Linked DNA regions of Arabidopsis thaliana. The protein of the gene in region 1 purifies or fractionates together with the protein of each later gene. This does not show direct contact. Each region holds a gene or a part of one and is shown in the gene's direction. Other genes may lie near its edges. The genes, in order: SHH1, CHR42, NRPD2A and NRPD1A.

Evidence for each region.
Region 2: the proteins of SHH1 (region 1) and CHR42 purify together in Arabidopsis thaliana (affinity purification with mass spectrometry, with the first as the bait; one study listed by BioGRID). This does not show direct contact.
Region 3: the proteins of SHH1 (region 1) and NRPD2A purify together in Arabidopsis thaliana (affinity purification with mass spectrometry, with the first as the bait; one study listed by BioGRID). This does not show direct contact.
Region 4: the proteins of SHH1 (region 1) and NRPD1A purify together in Arabidopsis thaliana (affinity purification with mass spectrometry; 2 studies listed by BioGRID, with this or other methods). This does not show direct contact.

The regions. Positions count from the first base shown.
Region 1 is NC_003070.9:5,236,437-5,240,233, forward strand, and holds SHH1 (SAWADEE HOMEODOMAIN protein), read left to right. Parts: upstream 1-1,607; 5' UTR 1,608-1,659; coding exon 1,660-1,713; intron 1,714-1,792; coding exon 1,793-1,878; intron 1,879-2,037; coding exon 2,038-2,083; intron 2,084-2,172; coding exon 2,173-2,341; intron 2,342-2,418; coding exon 2,419-2,479; intron 2,480-2,745; coding exon 2,746-2,797; coding exon of another isoform or gene 2,798-2,821; intron 2,822-2,858; coding exon 2,859-3,002; intron 3,003-3,094; coding exon 3,095-3,277; downstream 3,278-3,797. Other genes in the region: ABCG35 (pleiotropic drug resistance 7), read right to left, coding at 1-137. UniProt on the Arabidopsis thaliana protein: Involved in RNA-directed DNA methylation (RdDM). Required for the silencing of some endogenous RdDM targets and accumulation of 24-nt siRNAs, but not for the production of Pol V-dependent transcripts.
Region 2 is NC_003076.8:6,898,287-6,906,158, reverse strand, and holds CHR42 (chromatin remodeling 42), read left to right. Parts: upstream 1-1,916; 5' UTR 1,917-2,066; intron 2,067-2,839; 5' UTR 2,840-2,892; coding exon 2,893-2,941; intron 2,942-3,130; coding exon 3,131-3,363; intron 3,364-3,454; coding exon 3,455-4,888; intron 4,889-4,985; coding exon 4,986-5,123; intron 5,124-5,212; coding exon 5,213-7,144; 3' UTR 7,145-7,369; downstream 7,370-7,872. Other genes in the region: AT5G20430 (Mob1/phocein family protein), read right to left, coding at 768-839, 953-1,116, 1,204-1,322, 1,441-1,454; MGD2 (monogalactosyldiacylglycerol synthase 2), read right to left, coding at 7,578-7,838. UniProt on the Arabidopsis thaliana protein: Probable chromatin remodeling factor.
Region 3 is NC_003074.8:8,568,180-8,575,861, reverse strand, and holds the start of NRPD2A (nuclear RNA polymerase D2A), read left to right. Parts: upstream 1-1,652; 5' UTR 1,653-1,850; intron 1,851-2,012; 5' UTR 2,013-2,042; coding exon 2,043-2,459; intron 2,460-3,179; coding exon 3,180-3,407; intron 3,408-3,858; coding exon 3,859-4,739; intron 4,740-5,118; coding exon 5,119-5,410; intron 5,411-5,541; coding exon 5,542-6,435; intron 6,436-6,532; coding exon 6,533-6,837; intron 6,838-7,389; coding exon 7,390-7,682. Other genes in the region: AAE16 (AMP-dependent synthetase and ligase family protein), read right to left, coding at 1-129, 442-594. UniProt on the Arabidopsis thaliana protein: DNA-dependent RNA polymerase catalyzes the transcription of DNA into RNA using the four ribonucleoside triphosphates as substrates.
Region 4 is NC_003070.9:23,359,477-23,364,198, reverse strand, and holds the start of NRPD1A (nuclear RNA polymerase D1A), read left to right. Parts: upstream 1-1,711; 5' UTR 1,712-1,762; exon of another isoform or gene 1,763-1,895; intron 1,896-2,006; 5' UTR 2,007-2,051; intron 2,052-3,059; 5' UTR 3,060-3,072; coding exon 3,073-3,156; intron 3,157-3,239; coding exon 3,240-3,360; intron 3,361-3,457; coding exon 3,458-3,579; intron 3,580-3,659; coding exon 3,660-3,698; intron 3,699-3,785; coding exon 3,786-4,004; intron 4,005-4,080; coding exon 4,081-4,233; intron 4,234-4,321; coding exon 4,322-4,417; intron 4,418-4,467; exon of another isoform or gene 4,468-4,497; coding exon 4,498-4,722. UniProt on the Arabidopsis thaliana protein: DNA-dependent RNA polymerase catalyzes the transcription of DNA into RNA using the four ribonucleoside triphosphates as substrates. Largest and catalytic component of RNA polymerase IV which mediates 24-nt short-interfering RNAs (siRNA) accumulation.

The DNA.
Region 1 (3,797 bases):
TCGTTGACAGATTTGGTTCGTCTAGAGCTTGTATTGAATATGTCTTCCATGTTTCTGCTTGCTTTGCTTACACTACGACTTATGGTTTGCCGCATACTCCCACCTCTGCTCATAGCATGAGCTGGATCGTAATCCATCTTTAGATCTTATGAATCTTGATCCTGTTTCTATTAAGTTAAGTGCTTCTTCTTCTTTCTTTTAGACTATTAGACTGATAGGATCCATATGTGAGTAGAAGAAACGGATGATATGTAAATTTCGTTGAAGAAAACAGAGAAAGAGATAAGCAAAGATGGTGTGTTTGTCAGTGCCTCTGCAGCATTGAGAGAGAAAAGAGTAAGGGACAATGACGAGTGCAAGCTCCCCCTCTGGTGCTCTCTGTTATTTTATCACAATCTCCAATGAAAACTATAAAGAAAAGCACCACTTGATTGTGCCTTTTAAATTCTTGTGATTATTATAGTAATCCATGCAATAATGAAACATCTTTTAACAGGATGGCCCATGTGGAAAATGAAGGATGCCTAGTCAATCATACACGAGTTAAAAATTCGATTTATACGTTTGTATAAGGTTGGTGCTTAATGATGTAGACAGGTTGTCTTTTTTTGGCTTGATTGGTTTTGTTTTTCCTCACCTTCTATTGTCAACAATAGAGCAGGTGGCCTTTTTAAATTAATAAAAGATTGACGGATTCAAGAGATGGCAATGGACCAATGGTGATAAGAATGAGAGGAGTGATTAGTGCAGAACAGGTATAGAAAATTTGGGACTTATGTAAGAAATTGAATTAGTCTACTACGATTAGTTATATTTGGTTATGACTTACTAGTAGACCTCGTACCAACTACACACAATCTACAAATGTCAAAGTAACTCGTTATGAGTTCAAACATCTTGACCCCAATTTATGGATGCTATTAGCTTTGTTAATCAAGTAAAGTTATAGTATATCTACTGCGTGCGTGATTAGTTAAATACCGTAATTAATACGTAACACAGAATGACAGCTATGTAACCGAGTACAAATCCCTGATTAAATTTTCTATGTTTGCGTGTTTGTGTCTCGGTCAAAATCAATCAGGGCCTTTGCCATCATTTTCAAATTTGTGCGTTTAAAATGCTTTAAAGCACGTGTAATTAACTAACTAATTACAATAATGTATATTTGATATGTTTAGTAACGAATCTTGTATTGGAGAAATAAGGGCCTGGGTTGTCGCCAACAAAAGAAGGTAGAGCCTTAGTGAGGATTAGCTGTGATTAAATTATATACTTATACATGCTATGATAGTATTTGATTAATAATGTCAGTAATCATGAATATTAATAAACACTCCACCACGCACCACCAGCTCATATGACTTGGAAGATTCCCCGCGGACGGGTTCCCTCATCCTGTCTCGATTGTTTCAAAGTCATTTATAAATATTAAATAATAGTACAGTTATATGAGTGTGGTTAAAATAAAATAATAGACGGTCCAAAAAACAAGCATATGGGTAATAAATTAGTGAGTTTAAGCCCATTTATATTATTATTATCCATTTTAGGCCCATTAACCCACTAAAGCTCACTGAACTCTGAAGGCATCAGTGTAGTAGCAAATTAGCTCAAGATCCTTTTCACTTCTTCTTCTTCTTCCTTGTGCGCTCGATAATGGCTGCTTCCGATGATTCCTCTCACTATTTCACCGAGTTTACCTTGTCTGAGGTTATCTATGCTTTCTATCATTCGTTTTCTTAGATTAGAGATTCATGCTTTGTGATCTTATTGCTCTTCTTATTCGAAGATTGTAGACATGGAGAATCTGTATAAGGAGCTCGGTGACCAATCTCTCCACAAAGATTTCTGTCAAACTGTTGCCTCTACTTTTAGGTACTTTATTCTGAATTTTACGAGAATTTGATCATGTGAATGTGTTTGTTAGAGAATCGAGACACAAGCATTTTGTGGATTTATAGGAATAGTAGGATTATTGATTTTCATGCACAGTATCTAAAAAATCTTTATGTCTTCTTCCATTTTCTCTTATAGTTGTTCTGTGAATCGGAATGGCAAATCCTCTATAACCTGGAAACAGGTGCGTCTCTTTTTTCTTCATAGAGCTAACTGGTAAAAAATGCAAATAGAGTAGAAATAACTTTTTTTTTTGAATCAAAATGTTTTCAGGTACAGATTTGGTTCCAGGAGAAGCTGAAGCATCAAAGCCAACCAAAATCCAAAACTTTGCCATCTCCCCCTTTGCAGATTCATGACTTATCTAATCCCAGTTCTTATGCTTCAAATGCCTCAAATGCTACCTTTGTTGGGAATTCTACCTTTGTTCAAACACGAAAAGGTTTTCCTTTTCTTGTGTGCCATATTTGATTCTTTTAGTTAACGCCTTATAACGCCTATGAACATTTTCATACACAGGCAAGGCCTCTGATTTAGCTGATCTGGCTTTTGAGGCTAAATCAGCGCGGGACTACGCGTGGTAAGAACGTTTCCTTGCATTGAATATCATGTTTCTATTTTTGCTTTAACTCTTGGACTACTGCTAGCATATGACTTTGTTAAGTGGCCTAAGTAAGAACCTGAAATGTGAACTCTCTGTTGATTGTTAACTCAACGAGGAATGCCCTTACCTATTCAGTGTGAACTTAAGAAAGAACGTTATTCATATAAAGCCTAATTTTTGGACTTGTAATATACGTTTGTGTTTTATATCTGTGCTTATTTGCTGGAATTCTGGTCTTTCAGGTATGACGTGTCTTCGTTCCTTACTTATAGAGTTCTTCGCACTGGTGAACTGGTAAGCTTTTTCTCTTTTGTTTAATGGATGATTTGTTTGCAACTAAGAGTGTCTGCAACAGGAAGTGCGTGTACGGTTTTCTGGGTTCGACAACCGACACGATGAGTGGGTAAACGTCAAAACATCAGTGCGTGAGCGGTCTATTCCTGTAGAACCATCAGAGTGTGGGAGAGTGAACGTTGGAGACCTGCTTCTATGTTTCCAAGTAAGGCTGACTTTGATCTAATTATGAAGGATGGAACATTTAACAAAAGAAATTTGAACTTAAAAATGAAAGTTGGGGTGGTTAATGAGCAGGAAAGAGAGGATCAAGCACTCTACTGTGATGGTCATGTTTTGAATATCAAGAGAGGGATTCATGATCACGCGAGATGTAACTGCGTGTTTCTTGTTCGCTACGAGCTTGACAATACAGAGGTAAGAAGATTGATCTCAGCCTTTTTGTTGGGTGTGGGAACTATTGACGAAGTTTTGTGTTAAGTGTATGTTCAGGAATCGCTGGGACTAGAAAGAATTTGCCGCCGCCCTGAAGAGTAATTTTTTTTGGTTTTGAAGTCATATTTGGAAGATGCAGTAAACTATGACTATATAGTATATGACTGACCCAAAAATGGAATAACATGCTCATGTATAGACTTCCACTACTAAGTACCTACCGGCCCTAGGATTCTATGTTAGTTTTTTTCTGTCAACTATGTGGAATAAAGTGCAAAAGCTTAGAATTGTAAAGGGAATGGTGATGGTACAATGTAATAATACCCAAATGCTTAACCAGTTAACACCCTATGTAATGTTCAACATACAGTCTCATTCTTGTGAGCAAGACTATTTCTTTCTGTTTACTCATTGCTTCTTGTATATACAATACGCAGGTCAATACATTTTGTGAGCTTCGGCTTATTAAGATAAAGATGTGGAAAAAAGCTCATTTAGCACAAAAACTATTTGGAAAGAAATAAATCTTTGTGCCGAAAGTAATATAACTATCGACCCGCTCTCT
Region 2 (7,872 bases), on another chromosome or scaffold:
ATTAAATGTAACATTTGTGAGACTTTTTCGATTCTTAATGTAAAATTTGAGTCTTTTTGTGCATCCGATGTGGGTTTGGTAGTGTATGATCAAATAGTCATATTTACAGAGTTCTCTGTTCCTTGTGTGTGCATTTGAGATTAGACTTTGTTTTTAGTGTTTTTTCATCAACGAATGTGAAGTGATTTGGAAAGGTAGAGCAACATCATTATCACTCTTTAATCAAATTTTGATTACATGCACAGATGTAATTAGCATTTTCCTCAATGATAATAAAAAAGCATAAGAGCAGAGCACTCTGTTGTTGTCCCATTTTTGCTAAGGACATGCTTATCCGCATCTAACTTAACAGTGAATCCATGCTTGCTAATAGGAGATAACCCGAGATTAAATTGATTGATATCTAATGCTCAAAAAAACTAACACCTAGAGCTTTGGAAGTGAATTTGAGTCTATACTCATTTTTACTTAACCACTTCTACACAACACCAAGACATCCCTTGGTTTTGTGATTAACAATGACTAGCCAACGAAGAGGGGAAAAAAAATAGCCTGTTGTTTCTGTACAATGAAGTTAAAGAGCGGTTCTGTTGGTATTTGATGCTGATCTTGTTTATTGATTGAAACCTCACAAGATCAACCTATTATAGAAGCCAAAGTCATTTTGTAAAAGCCAAAGTCATTATTACATATATCATAAACTTCATCAGGATGTTATTAGTGGATATATGAAAATCCCTTTTCCCCCTGAAAACACGAAGAGTTTTCTATGGTTTCAAAATAGTTTCCACGAGCTTTTGAATAGGAACCATTTCTTCTTTATCAACCAACTGGAACTCCTGCATGTTGCCAAAATCGTGCATCATCGTTAAATATACAAACTTTTACCATCCGCTATATGAGAACAGTCCTAAGTACTCATCATGATTTAGAGAAAGATTAATCAACTCACAGATACGAAGAGAAGGTAACGGTGGAAGCAAGTGTTGAGATGAGCTTGTTCATTGAGAGTGACAATCTTAGGAAAGTGAGAATGATAGATGTGTGCATAGACACGAAACAACTTTCTCAAAATCCGCTTCACGAAATCCTCAAAGTTTGGAGGGAATGGTTCTCCTGAATGGGAAAGAAAGAAACAAGTGTTACAAACTAAAAACCAACTTCATGATCATGTTTAAAACTATGAATTATCTTCACAAATACCAGTCTTTTTCGGAAAGATGTGTTCGTTATCTATCTGAGTTTCAATCCAATTCATGAGAAGCTCAACATATTCAGGGGCTGAAACCATAGTAGTTCCATCTGCCCATCGATACTCATATCTGCAAACAATAAGACCGAGAAAGATCGATACTGTGCTATACAACTATATATTGTTTTACGATCAAGAAGCTTTGGATTTGAATTGATGGATGAGAATATCAAGAATGAGAAAGCTACCTTCCAGCCTTCATAACTGGGCAAGTGGTGGGTGTGCAGAACTCTTTAAGAGTAGCATACAAAAGGCTTATTTGGTTGTAGAAATCTACAGCTAAAAGAATATCAAGAATGAGAAAGCTACCTTCCAGCCTTCAATTTTTTTTACGTTGTACAACTACTACCTAAGTTATAGGTCATCATAACCTACTTAGGCTCCCTACAACACTCGCTGTCAAAGAGTTACCGCCATATCTCCACCGTGGACCCCACAAAAGTTTCATATAACTTTTCTTGTGACAGAAAATCTATCTAAACAGATAAAATATAACAAATCACAGCCGTCTAGTTTTCTCTTCCAGATGAAACGTACAAATCACAGCCGTCTATTTTTCTCTTAGATAAAACGTAACAAATCACAGCCGTCTATTTTTATCCTCTAGATAAAACATAGCAAATCGCAGCCGTCTATTTTTCTAATTACCTTTTCTCCTTGAACCTTTTCCTCTTGTCCGGTTCGTTTGCCAACACTCCCTTTCTCACTCACTCACTCTTTTTTGTTTGTTGTATACAACAAAATTCATGCAAATCTTTATTAAGTAATTTATATTCACAGTGGCCAACAAGATTCTGAAATAACTACTGAGGAGGTATTGAACTCTCCGTCCTTTTTCTCTACATATTTCTTGAATCATGGAATAGTAGATTATATAGCTCTTGGTATTCAATTTCACTGCACAATCTGGTTTTGTTTCCAAGGTCCGATCATCTTTTCTTCAGTTCAATCTGAGTCTTGTTGTTGTCTTGGGATTCAAGATTCTGCTTTCTAGATCATGATCGTTTGCTTTTGAATCAGACCCTATTCATCAAATACTCTTTATTTTTATTTTATTTTTGTGTTCTTTAGATATATGGGTTTTGTTGATAACGATGCTTTTAGCCTTTAGTGATGACCGATTTAATATATATTTTTTTGCCTCTTCTGGACTCTCTGTTCCAGGAAAATATATGGGTTTTGTTTTTTACCTAAAAACACAAATGTTAACAATTTGTGAACTTTTTCGATTCTTAACGTAAGATTTGAGTCTTTTCGTGTATCCGATGTGGGTTTGGTTGTGTATGATCAAGTTTTCATATATGCAGAGTTCTCTGTTCCTTGTTTTGTATGTAAGATTAGACTTCGAAATGTGAAGCGATTTGGAAAGATATAGCATCAATTATAACTCTTAACCAAATTTTGATTACATGCACATATGCACTTAGCATTTCCCTCAATCAAAAAAGCATAAGACTGAAAACTAAGTTACCTCATAATAGCAGAGCAGAGCACACTGTTCTGTCCTTTTCTGCTGATCTTTGAGTTATTGCTATAAAAATAGGCATCTGACTTTTGGGGTTTGTTATACTTATGTTGCCGTTGTAGGATCTTCGCATAACAATGTTGTTGGTTGATTGGCCCAAAAGTTATAAAAAAATATGAAGAAAAGAGGTTTCTACAATTTGAAGCATCCATTTGATCCATGTCGTAAGTGCATTTCCCTTTATATCAATTTTCTTCTGTTCTCATTTAAGTGCAAGTTAGCCACAGAGCTGAACTTAAAGTTATAAACCATTCAGTACTTTGAGAAGTTGGAAATTGTTGGATTGAAATGCCAAAGTACAGACTGGATTACTTTGACTAATGGATAACAATGTTCCGGTTCTTACTCTTTAGCTTTCGAGTTCTTCTGCTCGGGTACATGGAAGCCTGTGGAATACATGAGGATCGAAGATGGAATGATGACAATACGTCTGTTAGAGAATGGTTATGTGTTGGAAGATATCCGTCCTTTCCAAAGGCTTCGTCTCAGATCAAGAAAAGCGGCTTTGAGCGACTGTATCTGTTTCCTTCGGCCTGATATCGATGTTTGTGTTCTCTATCGTATCCACGAGGATGACTTGGAACCGGTACATGTAGCTGAAATCGCGTGAATTTGATTCTTCAAATACTCTGCATCTTCAAACTCATCAAAATACTCTGTATCTGTTTCTTGCATAGGTTTGGGTGGATGCGAGGATTGTTTCTATAGAGAGGAAGCCTCATGAGTCTGAATGCTCTTGCAAGATCAATGTTAGAATTTACATTGACCAAGGCTGCATTGGCTCGGAGAAACAGAGAATCAATAGAGATTCCGTGGTTATCGGTCTAAACCAAATCTCCATTCTCCAAAAGTTTTACAAGGAACAAAGTACTGATCAGTTCTACAGATGGAGATTCTCTGAGGACTGCACTTCCTTGATGAAAACAAGACTGTCTTTGGGAAAGTTCTTGCCGGATCTTTCGTGGTTGACTGTTACCTCAACTTTGAAAAGCATTGTGTTTCAAATAAGAACAGTGCAAACCAAGATGGTTTATCAGATTGTAACAGATGAAGAAGGCTCTAGCAGTACGTTGAGTTCGATGAATATTACTTTGGAAGACGGTGTTTCGTTATCAAAAGTGGTTAAGTTTAATCCGGCAGATATATTGGATGATTCTCAAGATCTTGAAATAAAGCAAGAAACCGATTATTATCAAGAAGAAGATGAGGTAGTGGAACTACGTAGGTCCAAAAGAAGAAACGTGAGACCGGATATCTACACCGGATGTGATTATGAGCCAGATACAATTGACGGTTGGGTGCGGATGATGCCGTACCAGTTTGGAAAATGTGCTGTTAATGTTGAGAGTGATGAAGACGAGGACGATAACAATGAGGATGGTGATACTAATGATGATTTGTATATACCATTATCGCGTTTATTCATCAAGAAAAAGAAAACTAATTCTCGAGAAGCGAAACCGAAAAGTCGAAAAGGCGAGATCGTTGTGATAGACAAGAGGAGAGTACATGGATTTGGTAGAAAAGAGAGGAAATCCGAGCTTTCGGTTATTCCTTTCACTCCGGTGTTTGAGCCTATACCGTTGGAACAGTTTGGTCTTAATGCTAACAGTTTTGGTGGGGGTGGTAGTTTCTCAAGAAGCCAGTACTTTGATGAGACTGAAAAGTATCGAAGTAAAGGCATGAAATACGGGAAGAAAATGACGGAAATGGAAGAGATGATGGAAGCTGATCTATGTTGGAAAGGTCCTAACCAGGTGAAGTCGTTTCAAAAACGAACATCCCGATCTTCGCGGTCAGTTGCTCCAAAAACAGAGGATTCTGATGAACCACGGGTCTATAAGAAAGTAACATTGAGTGCAGGTGCATATAACAAGCTGATAGATACATACATGAACAACATTGAGTCCACAATTGCAGCCAAGGACGAGCCTACCAGTGTTGTTGACCAGTGGGAGGAGTTAAAGAAGACGAATTTCGCATTTAAACTGCATGGGGATATGGAAAAGAACTTGAGTGAGGATGGTGAGGGAGAGACTTCAGAGAACGAAATGTTATGGAGAGAAATGGAACTATGCTTGGCTTCTTCTTACATTCTCGATGACAACGAGGTACAATTCTCTTTGAGATATCGCATATACTAAAACTAAAACTATATACAAGCATTTGCCTGCTAATTCCATTGTTGTGGTGTATCAAAATCTCTAGGTAAGAGTGGATAACGAGGCTTTCGAAAAGGCGAGAAGTGGTTGTGAGCACGATTATAGGCTGGAGGAAGAAATCGGGATGTGTTGCAGGTTATGTGGTCATGTAGGAAGTGAGATAAAAGATGTATCTGCACCATTTGTAAGTGAAACTCACAACTTACAAATGCATAATGTTAATGTTACTGGGCTTGTAATAAATGATTATATTTCATGGTTTGGTTTGAATAGGCAGAACATAAGAAATGGACCATAGAGACTAAGCATATCGAAGAAGATGACATAAAGACTAAGTTGAGCCACAAAGAAGCCCAGACTAAAGATTTCTCTATGATAAGTGATTCTTCAGAAATGCTTGCGGCTGAAGAAAGTGACAACGTTTGGGCATTAATACCTAAGCTTAAGAGAAAACTACATGTGCATCAACGAAGAGCTTTCGAGTTTCTCTGGAGAAATGTAGCAGGATCTGTGGAACCCTCGCTTATGGATCCCACTTCAGGTAACATAGGTGGTTGTGTGATCTCTCATTCACCTGGAGCTGGTAAAACATTCCTAATCATTGCTTTCCTCACTAGCTACTTGAAGCTATTTCCCGGGAAAAGACCTTTGGTTCTTGCTCCTAAAACAACTTTGTACACATGGTACAAGGAGTTCATCAAATGGGAGATCCCAGTTCCGGTTCATTTGATCCACGGTCGAAGAACCTATTGTACCTTCAAACAGAACAAAACGGTTCAGTTCAATGGAGTTCCTAAACCGAGCCGAGATGTTATGCATGTTCTTGATTGCCTAGAAAAAATACAGAAATGGCATGCTCATCCGAGTGTTCTTGTAATGGGTTACACCTCGTTTACGACTTTGATGAGGGAAGACTCGAAGTTTGCTCACCGGAAATACATGGCTAAAGTGCTAAGAGAGAGTCCCGGGCTTCTTGTTCTTGATGAAGGGCATAACCCGAGGAGTACCAAGTCAAGACTACGTAAGGCCTTGATGAAAGTTGGTACTGACTTAAGAATACTTCTTTCGGGTACTTTGTTTCAGAACAACTTTTGCGAGTACTTCAACACGCTATGTTTGGCTAGACCAAAGTTTATTCATGAGGTTCTAATGGAGTTAGATCAGAAATTCAAGACCAATCACGGTGTGAATAAGGCGCCTCACTTGCTCGAGAATAGAGCTCGTAAATTATTCCTCGATATAATTGCCAAGAAGATTGATGCAAGCGTGGGAGATGAACGCCTTCAAGGTCTCAATATGTTGAAGAATATGACTAATGGTTTCATTGATAACTATGAAGGGAGTGGAAGTGGAAGTGGTGATGCTCTTCCAGGTCTACAGATCTATACATTAGTGATGAACTCGACGGATATACAGCATAAGATACTCACGAAACTTCAGGATGTAATAAAGACGTACTTTGGGTATCCACTTGAGGTCGAGCTTCAGATAACATTAGCAGCTATACATCCGTGGTTGGTCACAAGCTCAAACTGTTGCACAAAATTCTTCAACCCGCAAGAACTTTCCGAGATCGGAAAACTCAAGCACGACGCAAAGAAAGGATCTAAAGTCATGTTTGTGTTAAACCTTATTTTCCGAGTGGTCAAGAGGGAGAAGATCTTGATCTTTTGCCACAACATTGCGCCAATCCGTATGTTTACCGAACTGTTTGAGAACATTTTCAGGTGGCAAAGAGGCAGAGAGATCTTGACCTTAACCGGTGATCTTGAGCTGTTTGAAAGAGGTCGAGTGATAGACAAATTCGAAGAACCTGGAAACCCATCCCGAGTCCTCCTGGCCTCGATCACAGCTTGCGCAGAAGGGATTAGTCTGACCGCTGCTTCACGGGTCATCATGCTCGACTCAGAATGGAACCCTTCTAAGACAAAGCAAGCTATAGCTCGTGCATTCAGACCGGGACAGCAGAAAGTTGTTTACGTTTATCAGCTCTTGTCCAGAGGAACATTAGAGGAAGACAAGTACAGGAGGACAACATGGAAAGAGTGGGTCTCGTGTATGATATTCAGTGAGGAGTTTGTTGCGGATCCATCTCTGTGGCAAGCTGAGAAGATTGAAGATGATATTCTTAGAGAGATCGTTGGAGAAGATAAAGTTAAATCTTTCCATATGATCATGAAGAATGAGAAGGCTTCAACAGGGTAAATGAAGGTTTGTATACATAAAGAATAATGAGAGCCTGGAATTTTCCGCAAACAGAAACAAAAAGGTTAGTTCTCTGTTTTAGCCATGGCTTGGAAGATCCTAAGTCTCTGGAACTCATGTGTCATATACTAATAATGTGAATATGTATCATATACTAATAAGAAGAAAATGTATCATATACTAATAATGTGTAAGTCCGTCTCTAATAATGTGAAATATATCGACAAAATTAATAGTAATGTGATTCTATATGAACAAGAATCTCTTGTTGATATTGTTAATGGCTAACAATAATGCAAAGACATCATGAACCTTTTGCTTAAAAATAATACATACAACTTCAATCAATAAACAAATTAGGGAATATAAGGAAAGGAAAAAATAACAGACAAAAGAACTACTAAGGGAGACATGTTAATATAAACATGGGACATCAAACTAAACTGGCAAAAGAAGAGGTAAGATTGTAAGAGACGCTAGCAAGAGGACCTCGTTGCTCTGAGAGCTCATCAATGTCTTTGACAATGTCGAAGACTGCCTCAGGCTGAGCTAGTTTACGTGCATTGTCTGAAGTTTGTTCCAACTCATCTGTCTTTGTGCTAAACCATTCCCCAACGATTCTAGCTGTCTCTTTGGGACTTCTTGTGAATACTCCTGCACCATTCTCCACTACATACGGCACATTCCCTTTCTCCTGTTTGGTTTCAAGTGTAATTGATATGAGAATT
Region 3 (7,682 bases), on another chromosome or scaffold:
GTACTTCTCCACAGATGATCTCCAAATATCAGGAACAGACTTCCATTCATTAGAGCTCAAAGCAGCCTCCCTTGGCAATGATAAGCGTTCTAAGAATGGCGAACACCGCCTTAACTCCTTCTCCTGAATCTATAAGAACGGTACACAATTGATGTTACATATAATTCAGGAAATGAACCATAAGGTAAACTTACAAGAACCCTATAAAAGCCTTTCAGGATCAAGCTGTTTAAACCCTGGTCATCAGAAGCAATTCAGCTTTCATAAGACAAGTATCCTAAACTAATAAGACTCAGAAGTCAGAGCCACTCGTTGTCTATTTTGGTGCAACAGCTAAACTTGAACCTTCCCCAAAGTCAATTCATTTCTTTAGATTACTTACTTCAAAAATCAAAGTGAAAGGAGCAATTTTTTAAGTCCACAAACCAAAAAGGAACTCGCCTTGGATTCGCAGCGAACTCGAAATCCCCTGCGTGAAGTTCTGCAGCCAAAAGCCTTGTAACCAAACACCAATCTCATCCCAGAAACTTGAAATTCAGGAGCTGAGGAGCAGTGAGAAACGAGAATCGAAGCTCCGAGAGACGTTGAAGCCATGGCTGAGGAGATAAGAGGTTATCGTGATGAAGTTGCTTGCATAGAGAGAATATATGAGAGGAGAAAGAGAGAAAGATGAAGAAGCAAAGAAAGGTAGAAAGAAAGAGACGAGAAAGTAGGTCGATGTCATGATTACGATTTTTCACAGGAAAGATCAGTTCCAAGTTGGTTGGCACCGCTACAGAAGCATGGCTTCTTCAGACTCTCAGAGATAATAAAACAAAAAACAGAGCTCAATACTTACACTTATATAATAACTTTTTATTTACTTATATATTATATTTCTATAATTAGATCAGATTTAACCTAATAAATCAAACTACCCATAATTATGATGTCCCAAATTTGGTAACTATTTGATGATTATTTCTAAACTGTAGGAGCAACCCCAACTTTGTATCTTAGCTAATTTTTAGGTATAAAAGTGATTAAATTTAATGAAACCAATAAACTTTAGCTAAGATAAACATCTTTATTAAGCCTCTCCGTCACTCACCAAAAAAAAAAACATCTTTATTTTATTTTTTTTGGTTAAACAAAAACATCTTTATTAAGATATTTTCTTAAAACTAAGAAAAGCATATGTGTTGTGTTTTGAGTGGGTAGACATTGTGTTGAAATAGTTTGTTGTTTCTTAAAATTCTAATCGTTCTTAACCATTGAAGTAGAAATTGGTTAAACTTCTTCCTAACTTTTCTTAACTTAGTAAAAACAACATTTTAATTTAAAATAAGCTTAAGATCCAAAATTAAAAATTAATTGATTTTAAACCATTGGGATTGCTCTGAGCTTTTTTAGTGAATTATGTGTTGTTTTTTTTCTTTGTGTTTTGGTCAAAATTAAGTTATATATGAAATTTATTAAACCAAACAACCAAATCGAATTAGATGTAAAAACCAAAATGTAGATGTTACAAATTTTGGAAAAAAAAAAAGATGTTACAAATTTTATGTCATGTGAACTTCTAAATATATTTCCTTTTCACTTTAAAATAAAAATAAAATAAAACTTAAACATAAAAATATAGATACCAAAGAGCAAAATTTAATAATATTGTCTACTAGTACTAGTGACGTCAATTTCTTCACTTCTCTTTGACTGCTTCGCTTAACCACTGAAAAAGTGTGCCAAGGGTTTTCTACGTCGAATCTCTCCGCATTCTCAGCGATTTTCCGGCGACGTTTACTCTGCACTCCTCCGACACCGCCGTTTTACTCCATCGTGCCAGCTTTAAGCAATCAAGGTACCTATTTTAGGTAATACGCTTTGATTCTGCTTTTAAGCATCGGAGAATATGTTATGGAGAATGATTCGGTTCTAAGGGAAAGTTGTTGATTTCGTGTTTGTATTCGCATGATTGCATTTTCGTGGTTCATGATTTTCACAGCTTTTTAATCAATTTCTCTGTCTTTGTTTAGGGTTTTTGTTCGTACAGTGTGTTTTGAGGTATGCCAGATATGGACATTGATGTGAAGGATCTTGAAGAGTTCGAGGCTACTACTGGGGAGATCAATCTATCTGAGCTAGGAGAAGGTTTTCTGCAGAGTTTCTGCAAAAAAGCTGCAACTTCTTTCTTTGATAAGTATGGACTTATAAGTCATCAGCTCAACTCCTACAACTACTTCATTGAACACGGGCTTCAGAATGTGTTTCAATCCTTTGGTGAGATGCTTGTGGAACCGTCTTTTGATGTTGTAAAGAAGAAGGATAATGATTGGAGATACGCAACGGTGAAGTTCGGAGAAGTCACTGTGGAGAAGCCTACTTTCTTTTCGGATGACAAGGAGCTTGAGTTTCTCCCATGGCATGCTAGGCTTCAGAACATGACATACTCTGCAAGGATCAAAGTCAATGTCCAAGTTGAGGTAACAGAAATTCTTTGTCGAAATTAAGTAACCTTGTCTGGATTTGATGAATGATAAAGAACACATGGTATAAGCTTATTTCTTGATGTTTCTACTAGACTCTTTCTGACACATATATGAAGATGTTGACATACACTGAGGTTCCTGTCATAGATTTCTCAATTTAACTTGCCATCAAATAATTTACTAAGGGTTAAGGAACATATTTGTCTGAAACTGGTTTCACTCTTTTTGGCTTTACAAGTTTTCTGTAATTGGATTTGGTTCCTTATTTGCATTCGCTGGATTTCTTACCTGAGCAAAATATCTAGTAAAAGAGATTTATTACAGTTACATGTTCGTGTGAAGTAGAGGTGTATTTCAAGCTTGGTTGTGTTTAAGATTGATGATTTTGTCTGCTCCCAATCTTTAGATGTTTCTTGTTTAAAATTTGAATTGTGATTACTTTTCCTTGTAGTGGTGGGTATTCAAACGAAATAAGCTTTAGTTTGTTTCATTTTAAAGTTTGGATGCAATAAAAGAAAAACATCTTCAGCTTTTTTTTTTATTTAGTTCTTCCCCACTGCCTCACTGTGCTTTAGTTTGAGTGTTTTATGCTTGTGTGCAATGACTCTTGTACTGTCAAACTTTTGATGATGTTTCTGTTTTGCTGTCCATGTATCTTATTCTTATAAATGTAGTTTATTGTCTAACTGCTTCTTCACTCTATAAATTGACTAGGTGTTCAAGAATACTGTTGTTAAAAGCGACAAATTCAAGACAGGACAAGACAACTATGTCGAGAAGAAGATACTGGATGTCAAAAAGCAGGACATTCTAATTGGTAGCATTCCTGTCATGGTGAAATCTATCCTTTGCAAAACAAGCGAGAAAGGGAAAGAAAACTGCAAAAAGGGGGATTGTGCCTTTGATCAGGGTGGATATTTCGTGATAAAGGGGGCTGAGAAGGTGAGTTTAACTAATACATACATATATGCATATTGCCATTCAATACGTACAATAACTTTATTTTCTATGCCAAAACGGATTTTGTTTGTCAGCAATCCATAAAACGGATTATAGTTACAATTTTCTATCATCAGATAATAGTGTTTATCAGCAAAAAGATGTTACAAATTAGACAATAACCTATTTGGTTCATTTTATTTTCCTAATGGAGATGAAGTAAGAAATTAAGAAACTTAACTTATTTATGACTTTGTATACTTCGTTAGCATCAAAGATATAAACTTTTTCTTTCCTTTCTGGCTTGACCATGAGGCCATGAGTATTCAAATCTTACAGGAAGCGTTCTTTGCAATCTTAGGCTCTGGGACAGATGATTTGACTCTAATATATTCTGGAAAAAATATTTTCAAGTTGTTATACTTCTCCCTAACGTTATTATATTGTTTTGCAGGTGTTTATAGCTCAAGAACAGATGTGCACAAAGAGACTGTGGATTTCTAATTCACCATGGACAGTCTCCTTCAGGTCCGAAAATAAAAGAAATAGATTCATTGTGCGCCTCTCGGAGAATGAGAAAGCAGAAGACTATAAGAGAAGGGAGAAAGTACTGACAGTGTACTTCTTGTCGACTGAGATTCCAGTCTGGCTCCTCTTCTTTGCGCTAGGTGTTTCGTCAGACAAAGAAGCCATGGATCTAATTGCTTTTGATGGTGATGATGCAAGCATTACCAACAGTCTCATAGCTTCTATCCATGTAGCTGATGCAGTTTGTGAAGCTTTTCGCTGTGGGAACAATGCTTTAACATATGTTGAACAGCAGATCAAAAGCACCAAATTCCCTCCTGCTGAAAGTGTGGATGAGTGCCTCCATCTGTATTTGTTTCCAGGCCTCCAAAGTTTGAAGAAGAAAGCTCGATTCCTGGGCTATATGGTGAAGTGCCTTCTGAACTCGTATGCGGGAAAAAGAAAATGCGAAAACAGGGACAGTTTCCGGAATAAGCGAATTGAGCTCGCTGGAGAACTATTGGAGAGGGAGATAAGGGTGCATCTGGCACATGCTAGAAGAAAGATGACCAGGGCCATGCAGAAACACCTCTCAGGCGATGGTGATTTGAAGCCTATTGAGCATTATTTGGATGCTTCTGTTATCACAAATGGGCTTAGTAGAGCCTTCTCTACTGGAGCATGGTCTCATCCTTTCAGGAAGATGGAAAGGGTTTCAGGTGTTGTGGCTAATTTGGGTCGTGCAAATCCATTGCAGACTCTGATTGATCTGAGGAGAACGCGACAGCAAGTCTTATATACCGGCAAGGTTGGAGATGCTAGATATCCGTAAGTGAATTCCACCTCCTCTGGTATATTTAAATATATCTCACGTATTTTAACTTACTGGTCTGGTCTGCATTTACTCCATTTTACATGTCTTCAGACTGTTTTAAAGATATTCGTAATAACTTTAATTCAATGTAGTATATGATGCCGATCACTGTTTCTGCAGTCTCTTGTCTGTGTATAATACTTATTTTGTATAGATGTTACTGCTATTAAAAAACTCTGATACTGTCTTTCTTGTTTCTTTCTCCCTTGGTCAATCTATCTGTTGAACTCTTGAGATTATCCATTTTGGTTCCTTTTCAATGTGAGCGGTTAGACAATTAAATCGTGTTGGGAAACTGAACTATAGCTGCATTGTTTGTAATGTTGGCCACAGGCACCCCTCTCACTGGGGCAGAGTATGCTTTTTGTCAACTCCAGACGGTGAAAATTGTGGTCTTGTGAAGAACATGTCTCTTCTGGGACTTGTGAGCACCCAAAGTTTGGAGTCTGTGGTGGAAAAGCTCTTCGCTTGTGGAATGGAAGAGCTGATGGATGATACATGCACACCATTGTTTGGCAAACATAAAGTTCTTCTCAATGGAGACTGGGTTGGATTATGTGCAGATTCTGAATCCTTTGTCGCGGAGTTAAAAAGCAGGCGGCGCCAAAGTGAATTACCTCGTGAGGTATCTTCTGTTTCAGCAAATCTCTTGCTATATTTTGATATTCTTGTGTTACTTGGTATTTGCTTTGGATTTTTCTGCTTCAGATGTGTCTATGTCGAATATTGTTTATATATATGAAACGTTCTCTGCAGATGGAAATCAAGCGAGATAAAGATGACAATGAGGTAAGAATTTTCACTGATGCTGGTAGACTACTCCGACCTCTCTTGGTTGTGGAAAATCTCCAAAAGTTGAAGCAAGAAAAACCTTCACAGTATCCTTTTGACCATCTTCTTGACCATGGGATTCTCGAGCTGATCGGGATTGAGGAAGAAGAAGACTGTAATACAGCATGGGGAATCAAACAGCTTCTGAAGGAACCAAAGATATACACACATTGCGAATTGGACCTGTCATTCTTGTTGGGTGTGAGCTGTGCAGTTGTCCCATTTGCAAATCACGACCATGGGAGAAGAGTTCTCTACCAGTCCCAGAAGCACTGCCAACAAGCCATTGGATTCTCATCAACGAACCCTAACATCCGCTGCGATACGCTGTCCCAGCAGCTGTTCTATCCTCAGAAGCCACTGTTCAAGACATTGGCGTCGGAGTGTCTTAAAAAAGAAGTGCTGTTCAATGGCCAGAACGCAATTGTTGCTGTGAATGTTCATCTCGGGTACAACCAAGAGGATTCCATTGTGATGAACAAGGCTTCATTGGAACGTGGTATGTTCCGTTCAGAGCAGATTAGAAGCTACAAAGCAGAGGTTGATGCTAAAGACTCAGAGAAGAGGAAGAAGATGGATGAGCTTGTTCAGTTTGGAAAGACACACAGCAAAATCGGCAAAGTAGACAGCCTTGAAGATGACGGGTTTCCTTTCATTGGTGCTAACATGAGTACTGGCGATATTGTCATTGGCAGATGCACCGAGTCTGGGGCTGATCACAGTATAAAGCTCAAGCACACTGAGAGAGGAATTGTGCAAAAAGTGGTATTATCATCTAATGATGAAGGGAAGAATTTTGCTGCGGTTTCTCTGAGACAGGTAAGTTCCAGATCATACTAAATCGAGCTGTTTTTTCAGAGAATGCATTCCTATGTATGAATCGAATGTTCCATTGATTGGCTTTTACATCTTACAGGTTCGTTCTCCATGCCTTGGAGATAAGTTTTCCAGTATGCATGGCCAGAAGGGTGTTTTAGGCTACCTAGAGGAACAGCAGAATTTTCCTTTCACGATCCAAGGCATAGTTCCTGATATTGTGATAAACCCGCACGCTTTCCCTTCTAGGCAAACACCAGGTCAACTCTTGGAGGCTGCTCTCTCCAAAGGAATCGCTTGTCCTATACAAAAGGAGGGTAGCTCTGCTGCATACACCAAATTGACACGTCATGCCACTCCTTTCTCCACTCCGGGTGTCACTGAAATCACCGAGCAGCTTCACAGGTACATTCTTCACATTGTCTCTTGGTTTTAGCTCGTAAAACAGAATATAAAATTATATGCTATAACAGATTTACATTTGCTTCCTATACAAATAGATGATATCATTAAGGGCAGGAACATATTATTGATAATATTTCCTCGTTGAAGATGTTTAAACTTGGAGACTTTGGCTACAGAATTTCCAAAAGTTGATTGAGCTAATATACTGCACAAGGCACTAAGCTAGATTTGAGCACCTTACTTGAAACATGTCATAGTGGATCTTTATTTTGTTTTCTAGGAGTACTAGAAGTGAGCATGAGTTATCTGTCTCTGTAAGACTAAAAAACTAAGAAGTTCAATGTTCTATGGTTGATTAATTTCTTGTATTGTGCCTGAAAAACGTCTAGAGAATACAGAAAAATAGGCTCAAGAGTCATGTACCAGTATATAATTAGTTAGAGGATTGATGCTGTGAGCCTTGTGATCTATGTATAATTCATTTAACCTTTCTTAGATTATTGTTGATTCTTGAGTCCTGATTCATTACCAATGGTAAATATTTGTGATTAGGGCCGGCTTTTCAAGATGGGGAAACGAAAGGGTCTACAACGGTAGATCAGGTGAGATGATGCGTTCTATGATATTCATGGGCCCAACTTTCTACCAGCGACTTGTCCACATGTCAGAGGACAAAGTCAAGTTCAGGAACACTGGACCAGTCCACCCGCTCACACGCCAGCCAGTTGCAGACAGGAAGAGATTTGGCGGGATAAAATTTGGAGAAATGGAGCGAGACTGCCTAATAGCTCACGGTGCATCAGCTAATCTGCATGAGCGTCTCTTCACTCTAAGTGACTCTTCTC
Region 4 (4,722 bases), about 18 Mb from region 1:
ATAATGGGTCATCAAGTTGTCAAACTCAATAATAGTTTTTCTCACAATTTTATTTATTTATTTCTGGCATTATAAATAGTTTTATTAACTAGACTACCCCAAATGTTTACAGTTTATAAGGTTAATAAGAAAATTTACTGGGACATTTTTAAGTCTAGTTTATTCTACTACATGTTTTTCAAAACAAATACTCATTTTGTTTTAATTTAATTATCATTTTAGCACTTAAATTTAATCTCACAATAATTATCGTTTTTAGTTTTTTAATGCAAATGTTTAATAAAAATGTGAGTATTAATGTCTTGACCAATAATTTTTTTAGAAACTATATTGAACAAGGGTAAAGTAGAAAATTTAATTGTTTTTTTTTATTTTCACTGCAAAAAATCTTAAACGACAAATAATTTTAAACAAAACTATTTTAATAACTAACCACTAAACTAACTATATAACTGTTTTACAAACGAAAGCGTGAACTTCACGTAAACAAAAATTCAATTTCACGCCGCCGACAAAAAACCTTAAACGACAACTAATTTTAAATAGAAGGAGTATATTTTAGTAATAATTATATGTTAAACTGTTTTAATAAATAACCACTAAACTAACTATGTAACTGTTTTACAAACGAAAGCGTGAACTTCACGTAAACAAGAATCTAATTTCACGTCGCCGACAAGAAAAACTGATTTCACTTATATATCTTGATTTATTAATGGACATTCACATACTCTCAAATAAGATTCTAGATCTTATAAATTTTAATCTATTTTTGTCTCAATTAATTTAGTTATTTATCACATTTCGCCTCTTATAAAATTATATGATAATTGTCTAAGCAGCTAACTAATTGTAATTGTTTTTCAAACAAAAAATATATTTTAATTACACATAATTTTTTTATCGAACAAAAATATATTTTAACGAAATATAAATGTTTCGAATCAAAGATAACAAATTTATAGCCTCAACTATACGTAAAACAAAATTTTATTTTACATATCATACTTTGATTGATACTAACACAAACTTCACAAATAAATTCGTATAATTATGTAATTTTAGATTATTTAGAGATTATAACTAGTATTTAGAAAAATCGCAAAATCATATAAGAAAAGAAATGGAATTTGTTTTTGGTTCAAATTATATTTTTTTTTCCCGCTATTCATATTATAGTTATGAACCAAAAATCAAGCTAGAAATAAAAACCACTAGGATTTTTTTTTTTTGCTAAGATGAAAATTTAGTTATACACTTATTTTTATTTATTTAAATATTACATTAAACTAATAAAAAGTATTAATTATTCTAATAACTTTTTGTCAGTTTTAAAATTAGGCCAAAAGTAAAAAACTAATACAGCTAATATAATATACTTAAGGAAGGATATTTCAACTTTTTCTTTTCTTCCCAGTTTCAGAGTTTATACAAATAAGGTAAAATTCGCAGAAACAGAAAATCATAAAGTAATTAAAATAATACAACCGAGGAAGTAAAAAGATTTCCAAAAGGTAAAAGGTGTACTCGTAAAGTAGGTAAATAGAGGTACAGGTCAAGGGGTAGTTTCGGTATTTACACTCTTTCTTCTTCTTTTTTTTTTTTTTTTGGTGTCTCACATTCCAAAGTCCCCATTGGACTTAGAGAAGAGTTTTTTTTTCGTTTTCTCTGCTTTCTCACTTTTTCCCGTTTCCTTTGGGAATACAAACGGCGGCTTCTCAAAAGCCTCCGATTTCGATTTTTTTTTCCTCTCTTTTTTTTTGTTCTTTCTTTAGAGTCTCTTCTTCAACTTCTTCTCCGGCATCTTCCGTCGGAGCTAAGGATCAGAAGTTTTTGTCTGTGCACTGTTTCAATTGGATCATTACATAGTGAGGATTCTCTGTTCGACGAAACGAGTAAGTAACTACATTGTTGTTCTTCCTCAATTCTCTTCTGGTTTTTCTTTCGTTTTTTTTTTTAAAACCTTTTTCGGTAATTTTCTTTTTATCTCTTTGAAACAATTTGAGTTCTTTTTTTTTTTGATTGATCACTGTGTCTGATTCCTTATCACGGTTCTTTTGTTTAAATTTGATCGATCGTTGTCTTTGAACTCCGATTTTGTTTCTATGAACTTTGTTTACTTTGGATGATTGTGAAAAGTTAAGTACTTTGGTTTATGCATGTTCTTATGAGAAATCGATTTCTTTCGTTTAGAGATCATCTTAAGGCGGCGAATGTTTTTGCACTAAGGGTTTGTGTGAGTCCTTTAGAAGAACATTTGGAAAATTTGTCCTTTTTTTTTTTTGGTCAGTGAATTTTTTTTTTTTTAATCCATGAATAGTGTATGTTCAAAGATTGAACCTTTTTGTGTGTATGTTCTGCAGTTTTTTTTCTTTCTTCTTTTTCTGAACATGTATTCTCTTATTTTTTTGGGTTCATGCTAGATTCTATTAGTAAATTCAATTTCGAATCTATAACTTGTTTTTGATAGGCCAGTCACAGAGGAAGATTGTGGTAACACTTTTGTCCCTTAACAAAAGTGTCTGTTTCTCTTTGGTCAATTTTTTGATCAGAGAGAGTTTGCTTTGGTTTTTGTGTTCTGGTCAATGAAATGCTAAAGATTGGTTTTTGTTTCATATTCTGCTGCACATTAGATTTGATGATAGAGGGTACAGATAGAAACTGATCTTTTCGACGATTTATCCGTGAGTTTTAGCTCTGTTTTATGTTACAGAAGTAAGTGTTAATTTTCAATAATGTGTGTTCAAAGTTTGAACTATTTTGTGTGTTCGTCAAATATTTTTGAGCTAGAATCTTCTTCCCTGAACATGTTCTCTCTTTTCTTTGGATATATGCTAGATTCTAAGTGGCCACTCACAGAGATAGTTTGTGAAGTTGTCTGTTTCTCAGTGGTTAGTATTGGTCAGAGCGAGTTTTTTGGTTTTGTCTGTCTAAATGCTAAATATTGGTTTTGTTTCATATTCTGCACATTGGAATTGGTCACTAAAACTTGCTTATAAAAACTGATGTTTTTACTTACGTATCTAAATTTTCCTTACTGATGGTTTTTTTTCTTGTAGGAAACTCTTCAACATGGAAGACGATTGTGAGGAGCTTCAGGTTCCCGTGGGAACTCTAACCTCGATAGGTTTTAGCATTTCAAACAACAATGATCGAGTAAGTGTTGTCCTTATTTATTCTTCTTGATTTGTTTATGAGTAGATGGAGCAAATATTTAATGTAATGGTACTTTATTATAGGATAAAATGTCTGTGCTAGAGGTTGAAGCACCGAATCAGGTGACTGATTCTCGGCTAGGATTACCGAATCCGGATTCTGTCTGCAGAACCTGTGGCAGCAAAGATCGAAAAGTTTGCGAAGGTATCATAAAGAATCTGGTTTTGGCAAATATTGTTCCAATCTTTTAGCTCATTTTATGATTAGTTCCCTGAGTTTGCTACTTTTCTCTCTGTTTTAGGGCATTTCGGGGTTATAAACTTCGCGTACTCGATAATAAACCCGTATTTCCTCAAGGAGGTAGCTGCGTTGTTAAACAAAATCTGTCCGGGGTGTAAATACATTCGAAAAAAGCAGTTTCAGGTTCACTAGTCTTTCCAAATCCTTTGTTGGTTTGTGTGTTTTGGAACTACATATACTAATGTCATTTTTGCTTGATATAGATTACCGAAGACCAGCCTGAGAGATGTAGATACTGCACTGTAAGAATATATGATTGCAACTAATTTTCTCAGTTTAAAACTTTGTTCCAACACTAATTTTCGGTTTTTGTTGTTGTTATATATCAGTTGAATACCGGTTATCCTCTAATGAAGTTTAGGGTAACTACTAAAGAAGTCTTCAGGCGATCCGGAATCGTTGTTGAAGTAAACGAAGAGAGTCTGATGAAACTCAAGAAACGGGGAGTGTTAACATTGCCTCCTGACTATTGGAGTTTTTTGCCGCAAGACTCTAATATCGACGAGAGCTGTTTGAAACCAACAAGGCGAATAATAACGCATGCACAGGTATAGAAGAGTGAAATGTACCATCTCCATGACTTCTTACTATATATAGTTTTCTGAAAATTTCACCTTTTTGCAGGTTTATGCTCTGTTATTAGGGATTGATCAGAGGCTCATCAAGAAGGATATCCCTATGTTCAACTCTCTTGGTCTGACATCTTTTCCTGTTACACCAAATGGTTACCGTGTAACCGAAATAGTTCATCAGTTCAACGGAGCTCGGCTAATATTTGTAAGCTAAAAACGCTTGTTTATATAATTTGTTATCATATACTATGGTATTTCTCTTATCTTTTCGAGTTTCTGTCACATTTTTGAAGGATGAACGGACTCGGATCTACAAGAAACTAGTCGGCTTTGAGGGAAACACACTTGAATTGAGTTCTCGTGTGATGGAATGCATGCAATATTCCAGAGTAAGTTAGTGGTTCCTGATAGATTTAAACTCTTCTTTCTGTTCTGTGAAGGTTAGTAGTATTTCTTGTTTTTTGCACAGCTCTTTTCGGAAACTGTGTCTTCGAGTAAAGATTCCGCAAATCCGTACCAGAAGAAGTCTGATACACCAAAACTTTGCGGTCTAAGGTTCATGAAAGACGTGCTGCTCGGTAAAAGAAGTGATCATACATTCCGGACAGTAGTTGTTGGTGATCCGTCCTTGAAGCTCAACGAGATTGGCATACCCGAGAGTATCGCAAAAAGGCTTCAAGTATCAGAGCATCTC